2 linked regions of the Callithrix jacchus genome follow. Each later gene encodes a partner of the first gene's protein in a complex. Links are inferred from orthologs where the notes say so. Each region holds a gene or a part of one and is shown in the gene's direction. Other genes may lie near its edges.

Region 1 (5,785 bases):
GAGCCCCTACTGCTACCCAGAACCTCCTAAAGCTGCAGAGAATCTGGCTTCCCTCCAGCCTGCCTCACCTGGCCAGGACCCCAGCACTTACCCTGCTCCCTGCTTCTGCTCAGGAGACTTCCCATTGGCAGTAAGGGTCTTCCCTTCCTCAGTCTGTTTAAACCCTTCAAGATGCACCGGCAGCACCTTCCCAGGAAGTGCCCTCTCACTCCCCTGAGCTGGCCCAGTGCCTGTGCCATGTCCCACCTCCCTTCAGTTATGGATGCCCAGGTCTCATGGGTTCCCCACACTTCTTCCCATGCCCGCCTGCACACTCTAAGGCTGGCCTCTGCTCTCAGTGCCTGCTGTAAGGCTGGTCCCTGGAGACCTCCAGCTGAAGGCTGCTGAGTGGAACTGTCCCAGCCGTCTTTCAGAGTCTGCCTAGCCCTCAGAGTCCTCCTAGCCCTCAGAGTCTGCCTAGCCCTCAGAGTCCTGCTGACCTTATGGTGTTTTATAGGAAATATCCACTTTCTATAAGGAGCAATCTCTGACCAAGCCCATCTGGCTGGGTCCAGGAAAGCCAAATCCTGCTCTAGAACTTGGGATGGCACTTTCATCCTGCCACCTTCAAATAATTGGGAAATATGGTCAATTCTTCCTCCACTTTTCCCATAAAGATTTTTCTGTACCATTGAGACTAAGCTCTGTACAAAAGAGGAGGGAAGGGGGAAGAGAAAATGAGGAGGGGAAGGTTGGGGCAAATCCACACTCAACCTCATCCTCGCCGAGCTTAGAGAACAGTCCACACCAGTGAGAGGCAGGACTTCAGACTCAGACCTGCGAGATTTCACAGGAGAGGGAGGCAGGAGCTGGAACAGCCAGGAAGGCTGCCTGGAGGAAGGCATTGGGGATAGGGAGGGGGCACTGAAGGAGAGAAAAGTGTCCAGTGTCTCAGACAGGGAGACCAGGAGCACAGAGCGTCTGAATTACTTAAATTGGGACTGAGTTTGCCAAGGTCTCTCCTCACACTGCCTGCACCTCCGAGAGAAAGCTTGGTGCCCCCCTAATCACATTCCTCACATGCTTTCCCCTCAGATCCTAACAACAAGGGAGGTGCAACCGCAGCTTAAGCTTTTAAACCCCCTGCACCAGACCCACCTGACAGGAACAGCTCGTGAGCCCTACCCAGCCCCAGGCTGGACCTGTCCCCCTGAGAACAGCACTGCTCACTCACCTGACATCAGGATCCCTAGCCATTTCCTGAAACACCCAGACACCCAGGCCCCATCCCAAGCTACATCATCTGAATCTCTGGGTGATCCCTGCCACAGCTGTATTTGCTGTTGGTTTGGGGGTTTTTTTGTTGTTGTTTTAAGAATTTTATTTTGATATAATTTCAAACATATAGAAAAGTTAGAAGGATCCAAAACATATCCATATACCCCTTTTCCAGATTTACCAACAACTTACATATTGCCCCATCTGCTCTCTTGTTCTATCCATATATCTATCTATGTGAGTGTGTTTCTGAACCATTTGAAAATACGTTAGAAACATGGTGCCCCTTTAATCCTAAATGCATATTTTCCAAAAACAAGAGCATTGTCTCGCCCACCCACAACAGAATGGGCAGCTGTAGCATTGACACAGTGCTACTATATACCCCAGCATCCACATTCCTGGCTGAGTCCTCCCAGTGGACATTAACCCCTGATAAAAGCTCCCCAGGTAAGGGCTAGGCAGTGCGGGCTCAGCGCCGTGCTCAAGCAGGGACCACCGCCTGGGACCCACTCTTCCCTTTCTCAATTGCTGTCTCCCACCTGGGGAGCTACAGCCCCGAGCACTGCTGGTGGCAGGTGGAAGGGATTAACCCCTTCTCTGCAGGCTGGAGGAAGCGCACTGCCCCTTGGCTGGCAGGGTAGCAGCTGCTGTCGGGCACTGGCTATAAATAACCTGGAGGCTATGGGTTGTGGGGCGGGGTCATCGCGGCCCTGTGGGAGAGGTGGGTGGAGAATACCCCCTCGTGTCCAGGGCCTTACCTTGGCCTCCCCTCAGGGCTGGGTGGGGCGGGGCTGGCCGGGGTGTGGCCACTGCTGCGGGTAGCGGGCTCCATCCCTAACCCCCAGCCGCTACTGGCATGAGGGGTCCCTCAGAGCCTCCAGGCCTCCTCCATGTCCCACACCTCCTCCTCTGCCTGCTCTGCCTCCTCCCACCGCTGCTCCAAGTAAGTGCAGGGAGTGGGAGTCCACAAGGTGGGTGCCAGGAGCACGAGCCCCCAGCACTCAGGACTGGGGGCAGGGGTCTCAGGGCCTGGTGGCTGGACTGGATTGGGGATCCCATGCCTGGGTGAGGGGGCAGGGGAAGGGAAGATGAAACTGTGAGGCCAGCCAGGATGAGACCAGGAGACCGCTGTGGGTAAGCGGAGGGTTCTGGGGTGACACCCTAGCGTCCAGAACTTGGCTACCTCAGGGCCAGAAGCTCCCTGTCTCCTGTCCTTTCTCTCCCCTCCCCCACGATCCCCCCTCCATCTCTCCTGCAGGTTCCTTGACTTCTTTCCCCAGCCCACCCTTAGTTCTGACCCTTCCCCCGAGGGACCCACAGAGAGCTGCCTTCTGCGCCTGCTGCCCTGTCTCCACCCCTCCTCTCAGTGCCTGAAATCAGGCAGCCCCCAGTACCAGACGAGCCATGAGGGCCAAGCGGTTTCTGGGAGAACCAGCCTCTCCAAGGGTTTCTCAAGACTGAGCTTCAGCCAGCCACACCATGGGCCTTTGCCCAGAGTCAGGGTCCACCAATGGGAGGTGGGGTGAAGGGATGCAGAGTGGCTACCAAGAGAGAGCTGAAGAAGTAGGGGAGAGGTTGGTGGGAATGGTCCACCTTCAGCCCTCTGCCCATTTTACAGATGGGGAAACAGAGGCTCAGAGTGGGAGGGTGACCTGTCTTAGGCCTCACAATTTGAGGAAGGGAGCCAGAGTGGAAGCTAAGAGGCCTGTCCCTGTTCTGACTCCACTACAGAGCAGCCTTGGGGACCATTTTCTGGAGCTTAGTGTCCCTATATGCATAAAGAGAATACTTCATTCAACAGTCTTTTGACAGATATTTGCCAAGAAAACTGATCCAAATCCCTGCTTTGCTGCTTAATGTGTGACCTTGGACAGGTTACTCGAATCCTCAGTTTCCTCATCAGTAAAATGAGGATGACATCGGTGCTTACTGAACAGGTTGCTGTGAGGAGCGCTGAGGTAATACAAGCACTCAGCATCATGCGCTTGATGTGGTGCGAGCACACAGTGAATGCCAGCTATGCTTTCGTGCCAGGCACCACAGATAGAGCATGATGACACAAGGGTCCCCACCCTCCTGGGGGCCAGGCCAGGTGGAGGAGAGAGGTGGGAGGCAGGTCCCATGCTGAGCTGCGGTCAGTGTCTGATAGGAACATGGCCCCTAGACCTGCTGAGCCTTTTCATGTTGCAGACTGCAATTGGGATGGGTGAAGGTTGCACGGGGGTTTACCATCCACTCCGCAAGATGTCCTGGGCTTTGAGCTCTCTTGCCCTCTCCCACTTGTTCTCTAGATAGGTGCCTTCCAGGAGATCCGAGTGTTGGGGCAAGGGTTGTCCCTCAAGCCATCCCTCTGGGAGCCACGCTGCCCAGCCACCCAAGGTGGTTGGATGCAGGAAGCTTCTGCTGGCTGCTCCAGAGGTGCCCTGGGATCCTCACGGCAACACCATGGGCTCAGCTTCCCTCAGGGTCATCCCTGGCCCTACCCCTAGCTCTCCCAAGGATCCCGGATTCGATAGAGACCAGTTACTTGCCCACAGCCCCTCAGCATGTACCCAGCTGGAAAGCACTAAACCTCGGTCTTTCTGATGCCAAAGCCCAGCCTTCCTCTCGCTGAGCCTTCATGGCAATGGGACTTTTTCCTGGGTCCTGAGACTCTGGGACCCAAAGCAGGCAGTAGGGAGGGAAGGCAGCCCAGGAGGGCCCAGCTTCTCAGTTATTCATCCAGTGTTTAAGGAAGATTGACCACGGGGAGGACCCAGAGTCTGAACGCCAATCTAGCTCCTGCTCTTGTGGAGTTTATAGCCCAGAAGGGGGCCTGGTAGGAAAGGAAGGAGTCTATGTTCACAAGTTTCAGTAAATGGGCCCAGAAGAAGTATGTGTAGGTGTGAGAGCCCTTGACAGGATGGGGGGAGTCTGGTGGGAGGTGGGCAGCATTGCGGGGATGGGGATCAGTAATTCAAGGGAAGGAATGGGGGAGAGCAGGTGCAGAGAAGGGGGAAGGCCCCAGGGCCCCAACTCTGAGAAGACATCTGTGGGAGACTGCAGAGCTGTACCGGGATCTGAGTTCATGGGGAGCTCTCTGTGCAAGGGAGGGGACTGGTCTTTTCTGCAATTGCAAGGGTTCCAGCTGGTGCTTTTGAGTGAGGAGGATGCTGGGGCCCAGGGCACACTGAGAGCTGGAGGAGCCCACCCAGCCTTGACCCCAGTGCTCCCAGTTCCCCGTGGAGGCCTTCGGGAAGATGCTCTGGAGGCAGGCAGTAATCTTGCAGCTGTTAAGTGGTATTAGACACCTTACTCAAACACAGGGAAGATGGGGTCACTTATTCACAGACTGGAAACAGAGTTTAGAGAGGCTCAGCAATGCCACTTGCCTCCCCTTCTGTGAAGATCCCAGGAGCCTCTCAGCCCCTCCTGGCTGAGTCCAGCTCCTTGGAGCTTTGGACAGGGAGACACCATCCCCCAGGGTCTCAGGAATGTACCTCTGTGACCTCTTGCCCCAGGTCCTGGCTTCTGGTAGGGCCATCTGCCCCAACAAGGCTCAGCAAAGATAATAGAACACAGAGAAGTCCCTAGCGGTCCCTGGACCCTCCCTGACCTGTCCGGCCCATCCCAAAGACCAAGGCTACCCTGCCCCCTAACACACCCACACTGAGGGTCTGCAGGGCAGGGGCTCCAGGACCATTTGCCAGCAGCTAATTCACTGAATGACTTTTCCCAAAAATTCAACTCCCTTCTGAGTGTTTTCTAGCCCTACCAGCTAATTTAGTCTCTGTTTTTGCCATTTTGTTGGTGTTTCAGTATTAAAAAAAAAAAAAAAAAAATCTGTCTGAGGGCAATGGCTACTTAATTTGGTATTACGAATTATTGGACTACTCTTTAGCTTCCTAGCTATCATATTCTACTTTATTTAATTTAAACCATTTTAAGGATTCCTTAGCCAGTCACAATCACTTCTTCCAAAATTCTAACTTTTTAAATTTTAATTTTTTTTTTTTTTTTGAGACAGAGTCTCACTCTGTCACCCCCAGGCTGGAGTGCAATGGCACAATCTCAGCTCACTGCAACCTCTGCATCCCGGGTTCAAGCGATTCTCCTGCCTAAGCCTCCTGAGTAGCTGGGACTACAGGCACACACCACCACACCCAGCTAATATTTTTGTATTTCTAGTAGATACAGGCTTTCACCATGTTGGCCAGGATATTCTCCTGACCTCGTGATCCACTTGCCTCGGTCTCCCAAAGTGCTGAGATTACAAGCATGAGCCACTGCGCCCAGCCTTTTTATTTTTAATTTTTGTGGGTACATAGAAGGTGTATGTATTCATGGGGTACATGAGATATTTTTATACAGGCATGCAATGTGTAAAAATCATGTCATGTAAAACGGGGTATCCATCCCCCTCAAGAATTTATCCTTTGTGTTACAATCTAATTATACTTTTGGTTATTTTTAAATATACAGTTAAATTACTGACTCCAGTCACCCTATTGTACTATGACTTACCACATCGTATTCATTCTATTCA
Region 2 (5,874 bases), on another chromosome or scaffold:
GTCTGGCCAGAATACACAATTTCCTTTTTCTTTTTTTCTTTTTATTTATTTATTTTTTATTAAAAAATTTTTTTTTGAGATGGAGTTTCGCTCTTGTTACCCAGGCTGGAGTGCAATGGCGCGATCTCGGCTCACCGCAACCTCCGTCTCCTGGGTTCAGGCAATTCTCCTGCCTCAGCCTCCTGAGTAGCTGGGATTACAGGCACGCGCCACTGTGCCCAGTTAAGTTTTGTATTTTTAGTAGAGATGGGGTTTCACCATGTTGACCAGGATGGTCTCAGTCTCTTGACCTAGTGATCCACCCGCCTCGGCCTCCCAAAGTGCTGGGATTATAGGCGTGAGCCACCGCGCCCGGCCTGAATACACAATTTCAATTTCACATTGTGGCTCAAGAGGAAGTATCTGGCTTGGTCTGAGGAGTCAGGAGAAGTCTCCCTGAGGAGCTGATGTTTGAACCAAAACGAAGAGGATACCCAGAGGTTTGCCAAGGATGCCAGAGAGAGAAAAGCGTTTCCCGTAGTCAGCAAGGTGGTCGGAACACACTTGTCTTTACAAATTCCGGTGGTCACTTCCATTTCACCTGCAAAAAATAAGGATGAAGACGTGGCCAGGCGCGGTGGCTCATGTCTGTAATCCCAGCACTGCGGGAGGTCAAGGTGGGAGGATCACTCGAGGCCAGGAGTTAGAGATCAGCCTGGCCAAAATGGGGAAACCCTGTCTCCATTATAAATATAAAAAATTGGCTGGGCGCTGTGGCTCACACCTGCAGTCCTAGCACTTTGGGAGGCCAAGGTGGGTGGATCACCTGAGGTCAGGAGTTCAAGACCAGCCTGGCCATCATGGTGAAACCCCATCTTTATATATATATATATATAAAAATTAGGTTGGGTGCAGTGACTCACACCTGTAATTCCAGCACTTTGGGAGGCTGAAGCGGTGGATCACCTGAGGTCAGGAGCTCGAGAGCAGCCTGGCCAACATGGCGAAACCCCATCTCTAGCAAAAATATACAAATTAGCAGGGTATGGTGGCACATGCCTGTAATCCCAGCTACTCAGGAGGCTGAGGCAGGAGAATCACTTGAACCTGGGAGGTGGAGGATGCAGTGAGCCGAGATCATGCCCCCTGCACTCCAGCTTGGGTGACAGGGCAAGAGTCCATCTCAAAAAAAAAAAAAAAAAAAAAATCCCCTGAGTAGAGTTAGTTTAACGGGCTTACAACAGTGCCTGGTGTATACAGTAGGCATTCCATTAATGCTTGTGCCTGTGCTGGAATGCCCGATTTATACCTGTCTTACAGTAGGTACTCTGTTGCTAATGATTGTGCCCTGTGTGGTACACAGCAGTTGCTGCATTGATGCCTGGCTCATACCTCATATACAGTAGGAACTCCACTATTACTTGTGCCCTGGATGACCTACAGCAGGTGCTGCATTAATACTTGGTCCGTGTCTAGTACATAGCAGGCACTGCATTAATGCCGGGTTCATACCTGGCATACAGTAGGCACTGCATGAATGCTGGTGCCCTGGATCCCTCTGGGGTCAGTCCCCCCGCCTGTGCTGTTCACATTGGTACCTGGGACCCTCCCGGGTGGTCATGTGCTATATGCCAGGCACCTCATTCATATCTGGCTCATACATCGTATACAGTAGGCACTCCATGAATGCTGGTACCCTGTACGGTAAAAGCAGGTGCTGCATTTATGCCTGGGTTGTGTCTGTTGCTCCATTAATTTTTAGTCCATGCCCGGTATATAGAAGGCATCCCATTAATGCCTGATACACAGTAGTGCCCCACTAACAATTTTTTTTTTTTTTTTTGAGACAGAGTCTTGCTCTGTCTCCAGGCACCAGGCTGCAGTGCTGTGGCGCCATCTCGGCTCACTGCAGCCTCCGCCTCCCGGGCTCAAGCAGTTCTCCTGCCTCAGCCTCCCGAGTAGCTGGGACTACAGGTGAGCACCACCACGCCCAGCGAATTTCTGTATTTTTTTGGTAGAGACGGGGTTTCACCATGTTGGCCAGGCTGGTCTCGATCTCTTGACCTCGTGATCTGCCCACCTCGGCCTCCCAAAGTGCTGGGATTACAGGCGTGAGCCACCGCGCCCGGCCCCACTGACGCTTTTTAACGGATGAGAGAAGGTTCCTGTTAGGCAATGTGAGGGCGCTTCCCGGGGGCAGCGACGGCTGCCCAGGAACCTAGAGACCCAGAGAGCGCGGCAACCGCTTGCACCTCTCTCCTTCCCGGCCTGGACCGAGCGAGCCGAGCCGAGCGGGGCCGAACGGGACCGAACGGAGCCGAACAGAGCCGAGCCTGGCCGGCTGAGTCCGCCACATTCCCACAATCCCGGGCGGCCCCGCCCCGGCTCCCGGCTGCGCGTCCCCCCTTCCCACGTCGGCGCAACCAAACCCGCGGGCCCCCCGCCCTCGCCCCGCCCCGCCCCTTTCGCGCCCGCTGACGCCCCGCCCAGGCCGTTATTCCCGCCCCAGCGGTGGGCGCGCTTGGCCGCCGGCCCCTCCCATTGGCCGCAGCGCCTGCCCGTCACGGGCTGCGCTCCCAGCCTGCTAGGTTGTCCGGCGCTGTCGCTCGGTTGCGGCGACTGCGGTTGGCGGTGGCTGCGGCGGCGGCGCGGGCTAAGTGCGGCCGCGCGGGAGTCCGCGTCTGGCGCGGCCCGAGCGGGGACCCGGCAGCTCGCAGGCAGCGGCCGAGGCGAGGCGGGGCGGGCCGGCCCGGGGCGGAGGGCCGGGGGCCGAGGCCGAGGCCGCGGGGCCGAGGCGGACGGCGGCCGAGGCGGCTCCGGCCAGGGCCGGGCCGGGGGCCTGGGGGCCGGGGGGCGGCGGCGGGCAGGCGGCCGCGGCGGCCGGGGCCGGGACGATGACTCTGGAGTCCATGATGGCGTGTTGTCTGAGCGACGAGGTGAAGGAGTCCAAGCGGATCAACGCGGAGATCGAGAAGCAGCTGCGGCGGGACAAGCGCGACGCCCGGCGCGAGCTCAAGCTGCTGCTCCTCGGTGAGTGGGGCGTCGGGCCTGCCCTGCCCTGCCTGTGCCGTCCGGGACCCTCCGGGGTCAGCCCTGCCTGTGCCGTCCGGGACCCTCCGGGGTCAGCCCTGCCTGTGCCGTCCGGGACCCTCCGGGGTCAGCCCTGCCTGTGCCGTCCGGGACCCTCCGGGGTCAGCCCTGCCTGTGCCGTCCGGGACCCTCCGGGGTCAGCCCTGCCTGTGCCGTCCGGGACCCTCCGGGGTCAGCCCTGCCTGTGCCGTCCGGGACCCTCCGGGGTCAGCCCTGCCTGTGCCGTCCGGGACCCTCCGGGGTCAGCCCTGCCTGTGCCGTCCGGGACCCTCCCGGGGTCAGCCCTGCTTTTGCTGTCTAGGTCGGCAGCTGGGACCCTCCGGGGTCAGCCTCGGGGGCCCAGATTGTTTGTGGTCCGCTCCTTTGTGCCTTCACCGTTCCTGTTGGCAGCAGGGACCTTGGGGGGGGGGTCTGCCCTGTCTGTCATGTCGGGATCAGGTCCCCATCCCTCCCAGGTCAGCTCCCAGTTTGCCGTCCACGTTGGGCAGGACCCTTCAGGATTTGCCCTCTGCCCCTTTTCAAGAGACCAGTCCCCTTGCTGCACAGGAGCTCTCTGATCTTACCTCGCCGACTACCCACCCCTCGCTACCCCCGCCCCCCCAGCATCTCAGGGCCAGAGCTTTGGGATGTCACCCACTGGTCTCATCCACCTTCACCTCCCAGGGTCCCGCGTTGACCCTTCCCACCAGGCAGAGCCCTGATCCCTCCATGCAGGTCCCGTCCACCCCCTCGAAGACTCCTCCGCGCCCCTATCCCCCATTCCCTTAGGGGCTGTCCTCCTGCCTTCCTACTCCGGGAAATCCCATCCTCCTCTAGGCTGGAATCCGCCCTGTGGGAACAAGACCGTCTTTCCTCTCCTCAGGGTTCTGCTCAGCCGAGGGTGGGGCGGTTGACACCTGAGGGAGCCTTTGCGACTTGTCAGAAGCAGCCACCTCGGCAGCCTCCCCCGCCCCCTTCCTTAGAGTCTTGGTGGGAGCCACGTGCAGCCCTAGTGGGGAGCAGCCCCCTACATCCCGGCTCCTCCCCACCTTCCCGGATAGGATTTACGCCTTGTGCCTCCTTCTCCCCAAGGCACACCTGCTGCAGGAAGCCAATCAGGCCAGCTGTAAAGTGTTGTCACCCAAAATAAGGGCCCTTGCAGTCGTTTACAAAACATAGCCCTTGCCCGGCCCCACCCTCGCCCTCCTGAGCTCCTAGGTTAGCTCCTGAGCGGGAGGGGTGGTGGGGAAGGTCTGAAATGCATGCAGAAGCAGCGGTGATGGAGGAGGAGGGGGCCCTCCAGGAAGGAGACAGGTCACTTGTTTCTCGGGGAGCAGACTGCCTCTCCTGCCGTGACCCTCCGATGTCCCCCGTTAGAGAGGTGCCTTGAATGAAATACCTTCCTGATTTTTTCCCCCCCAAACTTGTGTTTTGATTTACCTAAGGGTTCTAAAATGGGCCATCTTTCCAGGGGATTCAGGTAGGCAGAGCCGTGTCCCTAATGCTTGGAGGAAGTGTGCAGGGGGCCTGCATGGTGGCACTTTGGACAGAGTGGCACTGGCTGGCTTTTGCCGTGGGTCGTGGACTTTGTGTAGATGGAGGGGAGTTAGGAATTGCTGGTGTCATAAAGATCTTACCAGACGGCCTTGCCCTGTGGCTCTGTGACCTCCAGAACCCCCGCTGCCTTTCCCGCTGCACCCAGGCTTCTGTGCCTGCACTTTGGACTTGAGATTGACACCAGGTTCAAGGACGAAGGTCAGGGGCCCCCACGTCTGCAGCCTTGGCTACCTGGAGCGAGTCTGGGAGTAATGGGACCCATCTTGCATCCTCTGTCCGGTGCCCACCTGTGGCCCAGGGGATGTCCGCCGTCCCACCCCTCTGTGTGAGCCTGGAAGTTGAGCCCATCAGCCTGTAAGATGGGAGGTTGCTGTCAGGCTCAGGCCAGGCGGGGCAGATAGGACAATGAGGAAGACGGGAGCTCACATGCAACCCAGGAAGGACAGGTGTCAGTGCCAAGCAGAGGGCCGGGGGCTGCCGGGGGTTGGGAAGACTTCACACCTGACGTGGTGGGGCCAGGAAGCCCTTTGGGAATCTGCTGTGAGGACCCTCAGGAAACTCCTATCCAAGCCACCTTGCATCCCAGCCGGAGAGTCCCTGGCTTCGAGGGCTTTGACCACCAGATGTCGTGGGGCTGGGGTCCGGGTACAGGGGAGAGGATCTCTGCCAGGCTCCCCGCCTGCCTGTGGGAACTCACTCCACTTTCGCAGTGCGCCAGCCCCGAGCTTGCAATTGCCCCGTTTTTTAGGGAGCAGCTGGAGGGTGAGGCCGAGGCTCCCCGGGAGGAAGGGCTGTTGGGCCGCAGCAGGTGGTTATGGCGCCCGCGCCCCACAGAATGTTGAGACCTTTGGGCGGAGGTCCTGGCGCTGTGCAGGAGGCCAAGCCCAGCCGGGCCTGCTTCTCCCTGGAATTCTTTCCTCCCCTGCCCCTTTGTGGTGGGGCTCCAGCCCTCCTTCTCCCGGGTGGCTCCGGTGCTGCGCTGTGGAGTGGATGTTGGGGAGGCAGGGGCCTGCCACCCTGTGGCATCTGGGCCCCGGGAGGGTCTCGTGTGTGTGGGTGGTGCTGGTTCCTTCCAGGCTCGGGCCCGCAGGGCTCTAGGGTCCTGCCTGATGCCTGGGTTTGCAACCAGGAGGAGCGTGTTCTGCAAGAGCGAGGTGTCCACGAGCTCTCGTCAGCTGCCTTACGGGGCTGCACACGGCCTGTGAGGACTTTCCATGCCCTATTTCTGGGTGTGGAGGGACCGTCTGGAGCCCTGGAGCTGGACGGGGC

The links.
Region 2: the proteins of CRHR2 (region 1) and GNA11 are in contact, whole or in part, in a cryo-EM structure (PDB 7TRY), measured with the Homo sapiens proteins. The link is inferred for Callithrix jacchus from reciprocal best matches to the Homo sapiens genes CRHR2 and GNA11. Residues at the interface, in NP_001874.2 of Homo sapiens: Arg148, Tyr208, Leu209, Ala212, Ile213, Thr216, Glu220, Lys293, Lys307, Ala311, Phe358, Tyr359, Phe362, Asn363; in NP_002058.2 of Homo sapiens: Arg37, Ile348, Leu349, Asn352, Leu353, Glu355, Tyr356, Asn357, Leu358.

The regions. Positions count from the first base shown.
Region 1 is NC_133512.1:27,553,110-27,558,894, forward strand, and holds the start of CRHR2 (corticotropin-releasing factor receptor 2), read left to right. Parts: upstream 1-2,042; 5' UTR 2,043-2,116; coding exon 2,117-2,203; intron 2,204-5,785. UniProt on the Homo sapiens protein: G-protein coupled receptor for CRH (corticotropin-releasing factor), UCN (urocortin), UCN2 and UCN3. Has high affinity for UCN.
Region 2 is NC_133523.1:2,862,898-2,868,771, forward strand, and holds the start of GNA11 (guanine nucleotide-binding protein subunit alpha-11), read left to right. Parts: upstream 1-2,565; 5' UTR 2,566-2,873; coding exon 2,874-3,009; intron 3,010-4,830; exon of another isoform or gene 4,831-5,010; coding exon of another isoform or gene 5,011-5,053; intron 5,054-5,874. UniProt on the Homo sapiens protein: Guanine nucleotide-binding proteins (G proteins) function as transducers downstream of G protein-coupled receptors (GPCRs) in numerous signaling cascades.